Linked DNA regions of Danio rerio. The protein of the gene in region 2 purifies or fractionates together with the protein of the main gene of each other region. This does not show direct contact. Links are inferred from orthologs where the notes say so. Each region holds a gene or a part of one and is shown on either strand. Other genes may lie near its edges.

What was found. Proteins that work in one complex are often made in the same cells at the same time.
Region 1: the proteins of sf3a1 (region 2) and prpf19 fractionate together in Homo sapiens (co-fractionation; 3 studies listed by BioGRID and IntAct, with this or other methods). This does not show direct contact. The link is inferred for Danio rerio from reciprocal best matches to the Homo sapiens genes SF3A1 and PRPF19.

Annotation. Positions count from the first base shown.
Region 1 is NC_133189.1:18,671,115-18,676,836, forward strand, and holds the end of prpf19 (pre-mRNA-processing factor 19), read left to right. Parts: intron 1-771; coding exon 772-841; intron 842-1,258; coding exon 1,259-1,432; intron 1,433-3,719; coding exon 3,720-3,802; intron 3,803-3,907; coding exon 3,908-4,013; intron 4,014-4,121; coding exon 4,122-4,219; 3' UTR 4,220-4,560; downstream 4,561-5,722. UniProt on the Homo sapiens protein: Ubiquitin-protein ligase which is a core component of several complexes mainly involved pre-mRNA splicing and DNA repair. Required for pre-mRNA splicing as component of the spliceosome.
Region 2 is NC_133183.1:43,421,478-43,427,501, forward strand, and holds the start of sf3a1 (splicing factor 3A subunit 1), read left to right. Parts: upstream 1-2,366; 5' UTR 2,367-2,384; exon of another isoform or gene 2,385-2,388; intron 2,389-2,508; 5' UTR 2,509-2,551; coding exon 2,552-2,599; intron 2,600-3,981; coding exon 3,982-4,091; intron 4,092-4,183; coding exon 4,184-4,376; intron 4,377-4,537; coding exon 4,538-4,795; intron 4,796-5,497; coding exon 5,498-5,572; intron 5,573-6,024. UniProt on the Homo sapiens protein: Component of the 17S U2 SnRNP complex of the spliceosome, a large ribonucleoprotein complex that removes introns from transcribed pre-mRNAs.

The sequences.
Region 1 (5,722 bases), on a different chromosome or scaffold from region 2:
AGTTGCTTTAACTGAGATGCGTGTCAGATGATGTGTTTTGTTGGCATAGCCACTAACCGCCCTGGCATGCCATGAGCTAGTGAAATAAATTGAGTTCATAGCACATTGCTTTCCACATCCATTGTGAAAGCCACTTCACACCTTTCAAATGAGAATCAGCAAACGATGGCCACTTTCTCTTAGAGTGTAAGAAGTTTGTGCAGTGTATGTAGTGTTTTTGATGCGGCCTCTGTGTGTACATTTCCATAGTTACACTTTTCAAGGTTACATTATTTAAACCTCTACATGCATTATTTACTAAAATCTTAAAAAAATTTAAAATAACAGAATTTTGTCTTTGCCATAATTCTTGTCTTGTTTGTTTTTGTTGGCCACAAGTGCTGACGCTTTTGAAGATTTGGGCCAATTTAAGACTATATTTGAGGGAAATATGATTTTAAAGACAATTAAGAAAATTTTTGTAGCTTTGCAATAAAATGTGAATCAAGCATAATTTACAACATTAGCAGTATGCTACACTTACTGGATAAAAGCATTGTCAAAGACTACTTTAGCAGAAACAACCATTTGTCAAATCATGATTTTTTAAAAATTGACATTTTATTTAAAAATAAATAAAATTTCCCCAGAACGAGTGGAAACTGTTGTTGTGGTTTTCCGTTTCACTTCCCATGTAAAAAGAACATGCTTTGTTATTTTTATGGAAGGGAAGTCTCTGTGTAGTTACATTTTTATTCTGTGTAGTTACATTTTTAAATGTTTGTTTTGTAGTACTGGGCCTTCTCCGATATCCAAACTGGACGTGTCCTGACCAAAGTCACTGATGAGACTGCTGGATGTGGTATGTTTTATTATTTTAGCTGCACTGTGTCAGATTTTGAATAAGTGTTTTTTGAATGCTATTTTTATAAGTGTGGAAACTGAAACAAGCTCTCTTTTAGAATTTGTCAAGTTAGGATAAAAATGAAATGTAATGATTTACTTCAAAATATTTCACTCAACATATTTAATACAGGCATTTTGTACATGATTATAAGCCATGTTACAAAAAAAAAAAAGATAGTATTTTTAGGGTAATGACTTCATAAAGTATAAGGAAAAACATTAAAAATTTGATAATAAAATCTTAAAATGTAAAAAAAAAAAAATTCAGTTTGGTACAAAACAGCCAAAAGGACAGCTATGGCCAAGTAGTACTGGTAGGTCTAGTGTTAATTTGTCTCTTCATTTAAAAAGCATTTCTGCCTCATTCTTTCAGCTTTAACCTGTGCACAGTTCCATCCTGATGGTCTGATTTTCGGCACTGGTACGGGCGATTCTCAGATTAAGATCTGGGATCTTAAGGAACGAACCAATGTAGCCAACTTCCCTGGACATTCAGGTCCAGTCACGGCCATTGCCTTCTCTGAGAATGGATACTATCTAGCCACTGGTGAGTCATGTGATCTGTCTGTGTCCATTGTTCAATCTGCATTTTACCTGTTTTCTGAAGTAGTTATTTAAATACTGTTTTACAGTACATTGTTGCAAATCAGCCTTACAGTTATTAATGCAAAAAATGACAGAATTAAGGGCCTCCATCAAATATGATCTGAATCATGCTATAAAGAAGCCATGGTGACTATTTCAGTGTTGATTAAGTTCTGTGTTGTTTAGCAAGTTTTAGTTTACTTCTCTGCAGCTCTAGAGAACTAGAGTTATTACGAAAAAAAACGGAAATTAAAATTATTAGAAAAATGAAACATTACATTTAATGCAGAGGTTTGCTTGAGACATTATAACATCTTACTGTAATTAAGTTCTTAAAGATTATATAAATTCTTACAGTTTATATATTTTTGTAATTTTACTGCATTGCTGCAAAGTAGGTGTTCTGTTTGCTTAACCCTGAACTCTGCGTTGATTAACCCTTAACTTGCTTACTCAAAGTATGTGCACCAAAACTTCTTTTGAGAGTAAGTTCTATTAACAGAACTAGATTAATCATTAGTCATGAATCATTGTTACCTTAAGTGTTTGATGTAGGCTTCTACTGTGTGTATATAATATAATGATAGTGTAGTCCAGTAATATGTGCGTGTCAGGAAGCTGCTGTCAACATCCAGGATAATGAAGTGGATTTGAATTCATGCACACACTTTTTACACTTTCTCTTTTGGAAGTTGTTTTTAATGATTGGTTGGTTTTGCTTCCATATTTGTTAGGGGGGGAATATATTTCTGTAATAAGATTGCATAACCGGTGTATTTTATTAAAAGATAGTAAGATAGTAAGAAGTAAATAATAGTAAAAATAAATTAAACATATTTTGAGTGTTTAACTTACAAAATAAATTAAGAAATAGTAATATTATATGCTAATAATAGTAGAAATTAAGAAATAGTAGAAATTAAGAAACACACACAACCATATATATTAGGCATGGGCTTGTATGAGATTCGGACGCTATGATAACCTTGGTTATGTTCTTTTTAAATGTCTGGGTAAAAACATCAGTTTTTTATACTACTAAACATGTATTTCATTTTAAGAGACATAATATTGTGAAACAGTAAATGTGTCTAATCAATAAAATAAATCATTGATTTCTGGTATATTAGTTTTAAAAACACAGATTTCTTTTAAAAGGCATCTTTGGATTGCATTTTGTCTTTGAATATTTGTAAGCCACTGCACTGTTCAGGTCTATAGTTGGGTGTATCAGTGTTTCTCAATCACATTCTTGGAGGCCCATCAGCTTAGCACATTTTCCATGTCACCTTGACCAAACGCACCTGATTCCAGTCATTAGCTCATTAGCAGAGACTGAAAAACCTGTAATGGGTGTGACAGACATAGGAGAGATCCAAAGCATGCAGTGTTTGTGGTCCTCCAGGATTGTGGTTGAGAAACACTGGTCTATAGGATGTTGATGTATAAGTGAGTTTAAGAGGTAGGTAGTTCAAAAGTTAGGTAGGGGGTGTGGTAGGTTGGTAGGAAGTTTAGTAGGTTGGTAGGAAGTTTAGTAGGTTGGTAGGAAGTTTAGTAGGTTGGTAGCAAGTTTGGTAGGTTGGTAGCAAGTTTGGTAGGTTGGTAGCAAGTTCGGTAGGTCGGAGAAAGTTCGGTAGGTCGGTAGTAAGTTCGGTAGGTCGGTAGTAAGTTCGGTAGGTAGGTCGGAAGTTCGGTAGGTAGGTAGGAAGTTCGTGTGAGAGAGTAAGTCTGAAATAGAGAGAGAGTGGGTGTGAGAGGTTGTTAGGTAGGTAGGTAGGAAGATGGGTAGGTTGGTAGGTAGGACAATTTGGTAGGTAGGCAGTTGGGTATGTAGGTAGGTACAAAGCTAAATGGGTAGGTAGAAAGGTAGTTAAAAGTTAGGCAAGTAAGTAGTTAGGTAGGTTGGTAGGAAGCTAAAGGTAGAGGCTAGGTTGGTAGGAAGTTGGGTTGGTTGGTTGGTAGGTAGGTAGGTAGGTAGATAAGAAGCTAACTAACCCTAAAACGTAACCTGCTGCATATTTAGAGCAATTGTTTCTTACTATAAAAGATATCTTGGTTTTTGGACCTGAAAGCTGCAGTTATTCACTTACATGGCACTTATACGTACATGTCCAATTACCTGCTTTCCGCAGTAGCCCCCAGTTTTTATCATGACAGATGTTAACTCTGAGCAAGCTCTGCCCATTTGGCTCTGCATTGAGTATCACTTGTGTTCACTGTCATGCAAACTACATTTTTTTTGTATGCAGGTGCTCAGGACAGTTCACTGAAGCTGTGGGATCTGAGGAAGCTGAAGAACTTCAAGACAATCACTCTGGACAACAATTACGAGGTCGAATCCCAGAAATATCACTGTCAAATGGTTTTAATCAGTTTGCCAGTTGTTCTGCTTACAGGACGTTTGTCTAATATTTTTGCTGTTTTTTTGATCATGTAGGTCAAGTCCCTGGTGTTTGATCAGAGTGGAACATATCTAGCTGTGGGAGGGTCAGACATCAGAGTTTATATCTGCAAACAGTGGTCCGAGGTCCTCAACTTCTCCGGTGAGTTGAACAACGCTTTGAAGTTTGTCCAAAATTGGGTTTGTTGTTTAATTAAGAGCTTATTCTGTGTCCTCAAACTAATTTAATTTCTTTTTCTTCTTCCTGTAGATCATTCTGGTCTGGTGACTGGTGTGGCTTTTGGTGAACATGCTCAGTTCCTGGCTTCCACAGGCATGGACAGAAGTCTCAAGTTCTACAGCCTGTAACAGAAACAATACTCCCACAACAAATACATCTCTCTGTACGTGTGCATGTGTATACATAGATATGCATTCACTATCATAAACATGGTTGTAGTGATTAATTCAGAAACATTCAGTACACCTTGACTTTGTCACCAGTAAATTCATCTTTTTGTCAATTATTGCTTTAAAACAAATTTTGGCAATAAGGGTTAATGTCAGTTGTTTTTTCGTCTACCTTTTAATCTTTTGATTGTAGGCTGGCAAACTTTGTTAGTGTCCCATGACTTCTCTCTTTTTTTATCCTTCTGTGGACTATCATCAAATGTGAAATAGATTCCAATAAAGTTTAAATTTGTTTTTAATCTATTGTGTATGAATCTGTTGACTCATCGTTTTCATCCATGACAGGCACCAGGGGCCTGTTTCAGTAAGGAGGTTCAACCAACTCTAAGTTTAAACTTGAACTCTGATTTGATTTACAGAGAGATTAAAAACTCAGAGTTTTCAGTTTCAGAATAGCTGATCTGAGTTAGGTCAATCAACATTGAGTAGACCAACTCAAGAGTTAAGTGCGCACACCGCAACTATAAAAAGGCATTATCAATGGAGCGCAGATATTACAATTCACCATGGCAACATCTGAAAAAAAGAGATCACCATTTCTTTCTCCAGCTGAACTTGATGTGCTCATGCAAAGTTACAGCAAATATGACCATATATTTTAAAAAGTAACAATGTAACAGACGGTTAGCGTGGGAAAACATAGCTGCTGTTAATGCTTAGTTTTACATCTAAAGTATTTAAATATTTTAGTATAATAAAAAAGGAATGTAACGTGTGACATTTATAAAAAAAAAAAACATGTTCCCACTTTTATACACGTTGATCAGTTTTAATAGATTTAAAGTGCAGTTGTCTGCCTCTATTATTGTGATAAAGGGTTAATATGGCATTTAGAATGTAAGCAGAACTAAAAAATAGTTTTAGAATGAGTAATAATTCCATTAATTACAGTTCATTTTGAAATATTAACAGTAAAAACAGATTTTACCGCAGTAAAAGTTGTCAATCTTTTTTTATTTAATAAATGTAGCTACTTGTGCCTCAGACGACATTGATGATACACAATGAACGCGTGGGGGCGTTTCAAGCCATGAGACACGGAGAACAGATGCTCTTGACGCTCTGGAGGTAATTAATATACATTAATACTGAAACGGTTAATGCAATTTAGAATGACCAAAACAACGTTTCCGATGTTCTACAGTGTGCTCAGCCTGCTGGTTTGTCCATTCACACACATTTTCATCATCATATATTCTCTTATAACAAACCTTTTTAATGTACATACTTTAATTTGTTAAGTTAAAGTGTTTCCAGCGCAGTTTATGTGCATCTTATTAAATATAAAGTTTATCGTACTCCGTTATGCTCATATTTCATAATGTTTATTTTTAAAAGTTATGTGCATCATGACGTTTCCATCAATCGTTTTTTATACGCATCTCTAAAATGTGCATTAGA
Region 2 (6,024 bases):
GTGATTTGTTTGGAATCAGAAATAAGAAAGGCACAAGTAAATAAGGAAGTGTTGGTGGGAGTATTTTTCGATATTGAAAAAGCATACGACATGATGTGGAGAGAAGGACTTTTAATTAAATTAGAAAAAATGGAAATTAATGGAAAAATGTATAACTGGATCAAGAATTTTTTGTTAAAAAGAACAATACAAGTTAGAGTGGGTTCTGCATTCTCCCAAATATATAAGGTAGAGAACGGAACACCACAAGGGAGTGTTAGCAGCCCTATCCTATTTAATATCATGATAAATGACATCTTTTCAAAAATGGAGTTGGGGATCGGGAGATCTTTATATGCAGATGATGGTGCGCTATGGAAGAGGGGAAGAAATGTAGTTCATGTAGAAAGGTGTTTACAGAATGCAGTGAGGACAGTACAAGATTGGGCGGATGAGTGGGGGTTTAGATTTTCTACTGATAAAACTCAGGTTATTTGTTTTTCAAAAAAGAAAGTTAATCCAAATATAAATATTAATATATACAGACAAAAAATAGAACAGGTATCAGTAATTAGATATTTAGGAATGTGGATGGATGTAAAACTGAATTTTAATATGCATATTCAAAAAATAATAGATAAATGTAAAAAAGGAATTAATGTAATGAGGTGTCTGGCAGGAGCTGAATGGGGTGCATGTCGTTTCTCGCTTAAAAGAATCTATAATGCACTGGTAAGATCTACTATAGATTATGGATGCGTAGTATATAGTTCCGCAGCTAAAACTCAGTTGTTGAAAATAGATGCGATTCAATCTCAGGCACTAAGAATATGCTGTGGAGCACTAAGAACTACACCCATTATAGCATTACAAGTAGAGATGGGGGAAATGCCTCTAAAAATTAGAAGAATTAAGTTAAAAATGAGATATTGGGTTAGCATTAAAAGCCAAGAAGAGAGGCACCCAGTAAAAACAGTACTAAAGGAATGTTGGGAATATGGACATAAAAAGATAGATAGTTTTGGTTGGACAGTAAAAGACGAGGCTCAAAATATGGGCATAAGAGACATCAATTTAGCCCCTGCTGTGCCAACCTCTGCGATTCCGCCTTGGCTTTTCCATAAACCAGTAGTCGATTTATTACTACATGAGGAAAAACACAAAAATAATATGTTAAATGAAAAAGAAATACAACAATACATAAATCAGTCATATTTCAATTATTTACAGATATATACAGATGGGTCAAAAGATCCTAAAGATGAAAAAACGGCAGTAGTAGTTTACATCCCAAAATTCAATATTAAAATATCAAAAAGAATAACGGACCGACTTTCTGTGTACACTACAGAAATTGTAGCTATACTTCTTGCTCTTCAGTGGATAGAAGACGTGAAACCATTAAGATCAGTAATATGCTCCGATTCTCTGTCAGTACTAAACAACTTAATTACTGGAACATCTAAGGCAAGACAGGACATAATGAATGAGATAATGCAAAATTTATTCAGAATCAGACAGGGTGGACTTTTTGTAAGCTTCTTGTGGATTCCTGGTCATATGGGAGTAGTAGGTAATGAAGAGGCAGACCAACTTGCAAAGGAAGCATTACAACATACTCAGATAGAAATAAAAATAAAAATAAGTAAGTCAGAGGTAAAAAACATAATTGCAAAAGAAACAGGTAGAATGTGGCAAAGGGAGTGGGATAATGGAGAAAAAGGCAGACATATGCATAATATTCAAGGATGTGTGGGTGGTACTAGAAATAAGTTTAGTAATAGAAGGAATGATGTGGTAATAACTAGGTTGCGTGCTGGTCATTGTTTGCTAAACCAGTATAAGTTCAGAATAGGGAAGCACGAGACAGGATGTTGTGATAAATGCGGGAAAATAGAAACATTAGAACATGTAATTACAGAATGTGTGGCATATGACAATCAGAGATATCAGTTAGTTCAAGGATTAAGTATTTATGGGATTAAAAATTTGTCATTTCAGACCCTATTAGGAAACAGTTCAAATCAAGTTGAAATAATAATGCAATTAATTAATTACTTAAAGGAAACAAAATTGATTAATAGAATTTAAGAATAGCTTAGCAAAATAAGGAAATAAAATTTACTATGATTTTTAACTAGTATTTTTTTTCTTTCTTTCTCTCCTCTCCTCCTACTGTTATTACTGTTCTCTCTTCCCTATGGTAATCTCATCCCTCCATTCGTATCATATATCTTTAGTACTCATGCTTTTTCCAACATTATGCGCTCCACACTCCTATCCAGTAGGTGGCGGAAATGCACCATTTAAGTTGGTCTGCCAACCGCCATTAACCCCATAAGAAGAAGAAGAATTTCATTGGTTGTCCGTTTTGTGTTGTGTGTGTGGCTGCTGGCTAACGAGAGGTAAGTGAGTTATGTAAAACTGCCTTCATAATTTGTATAACTTTAGCCATTCTTGCGACTTTCAGTGTTCATTATTTTATAACGGTTGAGTCTTTAGCTTCAAATAATCTTTCATTTTACACAGTAACGTTTGAATCGGTCCGAGAAGAGCCAGTAGTGTCGCAGTCATGCCGCCTGGGCCTGTGCAGATCATGCAGCCGGAGCTGAATAACAAGGTATGAAGCTTTCAGAATTTATTACTTTCATAGACACGATGGGTAGGTTTATCCGATTTATATTCATCTGCTTACATTTTTCGTCTTTCATAAGTATAATACTGGGCATTATTGCAATTTTATAATTTATTGTTTTGAGTAGAAGCATTACTTGTTTAAAGTTAAACTTTAATGTATATGTTATCTGTTTTGTTATCTTTTGTAGCAGTCATTGTTGTATATATTCCCAGCATAATGTTGTTTTATTATTAGTATAAATATAATATAATATAAAAATATATATTATGTAAATGTACTGTTTTATTTCCCAAAATCGATGTGGTCAAAGACAACCATTTTAAAAGATAACGTAGTAGTGTCTACTTTATTGTTTAGAAAAAAAGGTTAATAAAAATTAAGATCTAAAAATATATATACTTTTGTAAAAAATGACAACAACAACAAAAGTAAACTTACATGTACTTATTAAAATAAGTAAATGATCCTTCTGCATTTTATTGTTTTTTCTTTAAGTAAAAATTTGGATAATAGATAGTTAAATTTGAAATATTTCATTTGCTTATTTTGGGGGCTGCAATGTGATCTTTAAATGTTTTTCTAATGTCATCAAAATATTCTTCAGATGTTAATTGAATAATTATTCTTATTTTTCTTTATAATGAAAAAAATATAAATACACAAATTACTTGTTAGTTTATAAATATACATATATTGTTTTGATTCTTAAATTAAAAATGAATATGCAAATTCTATATACAAATAATATTTAAAAATTAGGGGTGTTTGAATTGAATGTAAATTTATTGATATTTATTGTAAAAACTAATTAGTTTGTAATATAAATTTCAGTTTATTATCAGATTCTGTTTTATTGATGTTGTGAAATGAGAAAGGACAGTTGTGCAATTATAATAAAAAGTAATAATTTTAAGGACCATTTACAGTGAGAAGTGTATTCTGTTGTACAATAGAAACACTTTTGGCTGCAGTAAATCCAATTCGCTTGATTTTTTTCTGTTTATCTGATATGGTATTCTCACATAACATGGTAAAGTTTCTGAGATTGACACCACAAGCATCACCCATGCTTCAATATTTGTGTAGTAAATGAAACTGTGGCATTCATTCAGAAACACGCCTCATAAATATAGACTTTGTATTTAACTTATATTTTAGTGGTCTTAAAATTCTCACACAATAGTACACATCACAACTTCATTTTAAGGACATGATTAGTTTTAATGTATTAATTCAAAGCTTGTAACATTTAATGACATTGTATAATTAATTCCATATTTATGACTGTATTCTGTGATTTTTGTTTGTGTTTTCTGTATTATTTTGCTCATATTAAATAAGCTATGAGATGTTTTAATCAACAGCCCGAAGAACCGAAAGAAGAAACTCCAGCCACAAAGCCCATAGTGGGAATCATCTACCCTCCTCCTGAAGTGCGAAACATCGTTGACAAGACTGCCAGCTTCGTAGCCAGGTTTGACATCCTACCACATATATCATGTAGTGCAGTATTTCATTTGTGTACTTTTATTAAATCAATAATTAATTCCATTTATTTTGTCAAAGGAATGGACCCGAGTTTGAGGCCAGAATTCGACAGAATGAGATCAACAACCCAAAGTTCAACTTCCTCAACCCGAGCGACCCATACCATGCCTACTACCGACACAAGGTCAATGAGTTCAAGGAGGGCAAAGCTCAGGAACCATCCGCAGCCGTTCCTAAAGTCATGCAGCATCCTCAGCAGCTTCCTCAGAAGGTCAGCAACTTCTCTGTGGCTTTATATAAATATTATCAATATTATAGATGTAGACAGATAGTTTTATAATAGTTAAAATCAAGCCATAATCCAGCAGACAGATATAAAAAATTTTAATAGCTTTCTATGTTATAAAGAGCTTATGTTTTGTGATTATTTAGGTCCAAGCACAGGTGATCCATGAGACGGTGGTGCCAAAAGAGCCTCCACCTGAGTTTGAGTTCATTGCTGACCCTCCCTCCATCTCAGCCTTTGACCTGGATGTGGTGAAACTGACCGCACAGTTTGTTGCCCGTAATGGCCGTCAGTTTCTCACACAGCTGATGCAGAAGGAACAGAGGAACTACCAGTTTGACTTTCTCCGGCCACAGCACAGTCTGTTCAACTACTTCACAAAACTAGTGGAGCAGTATACAAAGGTAAATTATACTTTTTAGAAATGCTGAGGGCTTATTGGTTTGCAAAGAGATTAGAGATGTTCAGTATTTTTTCCTCTAATAATATTTTTGATTAATGTTTAAAAAAATGCAAGCTCAATAAATTAGCAAAAAAATTATTAAAACAATTATTCCATTTGTGAAAGCATTTAGAAGATACATTAGGGCTGGGGAAAAAATTGGTGATTTCCATGCACATTTTGTCAATAAAGCAATAAAAGTAAAGTAAGCTACATTCAGCTGGAGCAGCATTTGCCACACATAATTCACTATAAAGCTACACAAAACTTGCAACACTTGATGAATCTGTAGTTGTGTCTTTATTAATTAGTCTGAATTAGCGAAAGCAGTTAAAGTTTCCTTTTTAACACAATACTCTTTGGATTTCTTTTAGTTTCTGTAAGAGCAGCCTCTGGCATTTAGAGGAGATTTATTGCTGATCATGCTGTGCTTTTCTGACAATATGTGCATGACAAATGTAGCTTTGCTAAATGATGTTTGGGATTTACTTTAGATTAATTGACCAGTCCTAAGATATATTGTAGTTCGGTAATATCACACAAACAAATACTTTTTCCCTGAAAATCAATTGCAAATGTGAAACCCCCAAATGCAAAATACAGGTTACAAATACAGGTTATTCAAGTGTGACATTAAATAACTTGTTTGATTGGCTTTTTGCAGGTTTTGATTCCTCCAAAAGGTCTTCTGCTGAAACTGAAGAAAGAAGCAGAGAATCCTCGAGAGGTCTTGGACCAGGTAATCAAATATAGAAATGAACACCAAAATTTAAAATTTCAGGTCACACGGGGTGTGAATGAAAAAAAAAAAAAAAAACATAAGATATTGGTAGACAAAATCATATTTAGAGTTTTTTTGTGCCCTAAACATACTCTTTGAGCTTTGAATGATTGCAGTTTAACCAGTGAAGTTTCATGGATTTTTTTAACAATGTCTTTGATTCTTTTTTTTTGAACTTTTAATGTCTCACGAGTATTGCTGCCTATACATGACAATATCTAAATCTTACATTTATGATGAGATAAAATCTTTAAATATCAACTCTTTATGTTCTAAAGAACAAAAAAGGTTTCTGAGGATTGGAACAACATGAGCATAAGCAATTAATAATAGATTTTTAAAAATCTGGGTGAACTAACCTTTAGATAAAACGTTTTAGAAGACACATTTTACCAAAGCCATTTACATTT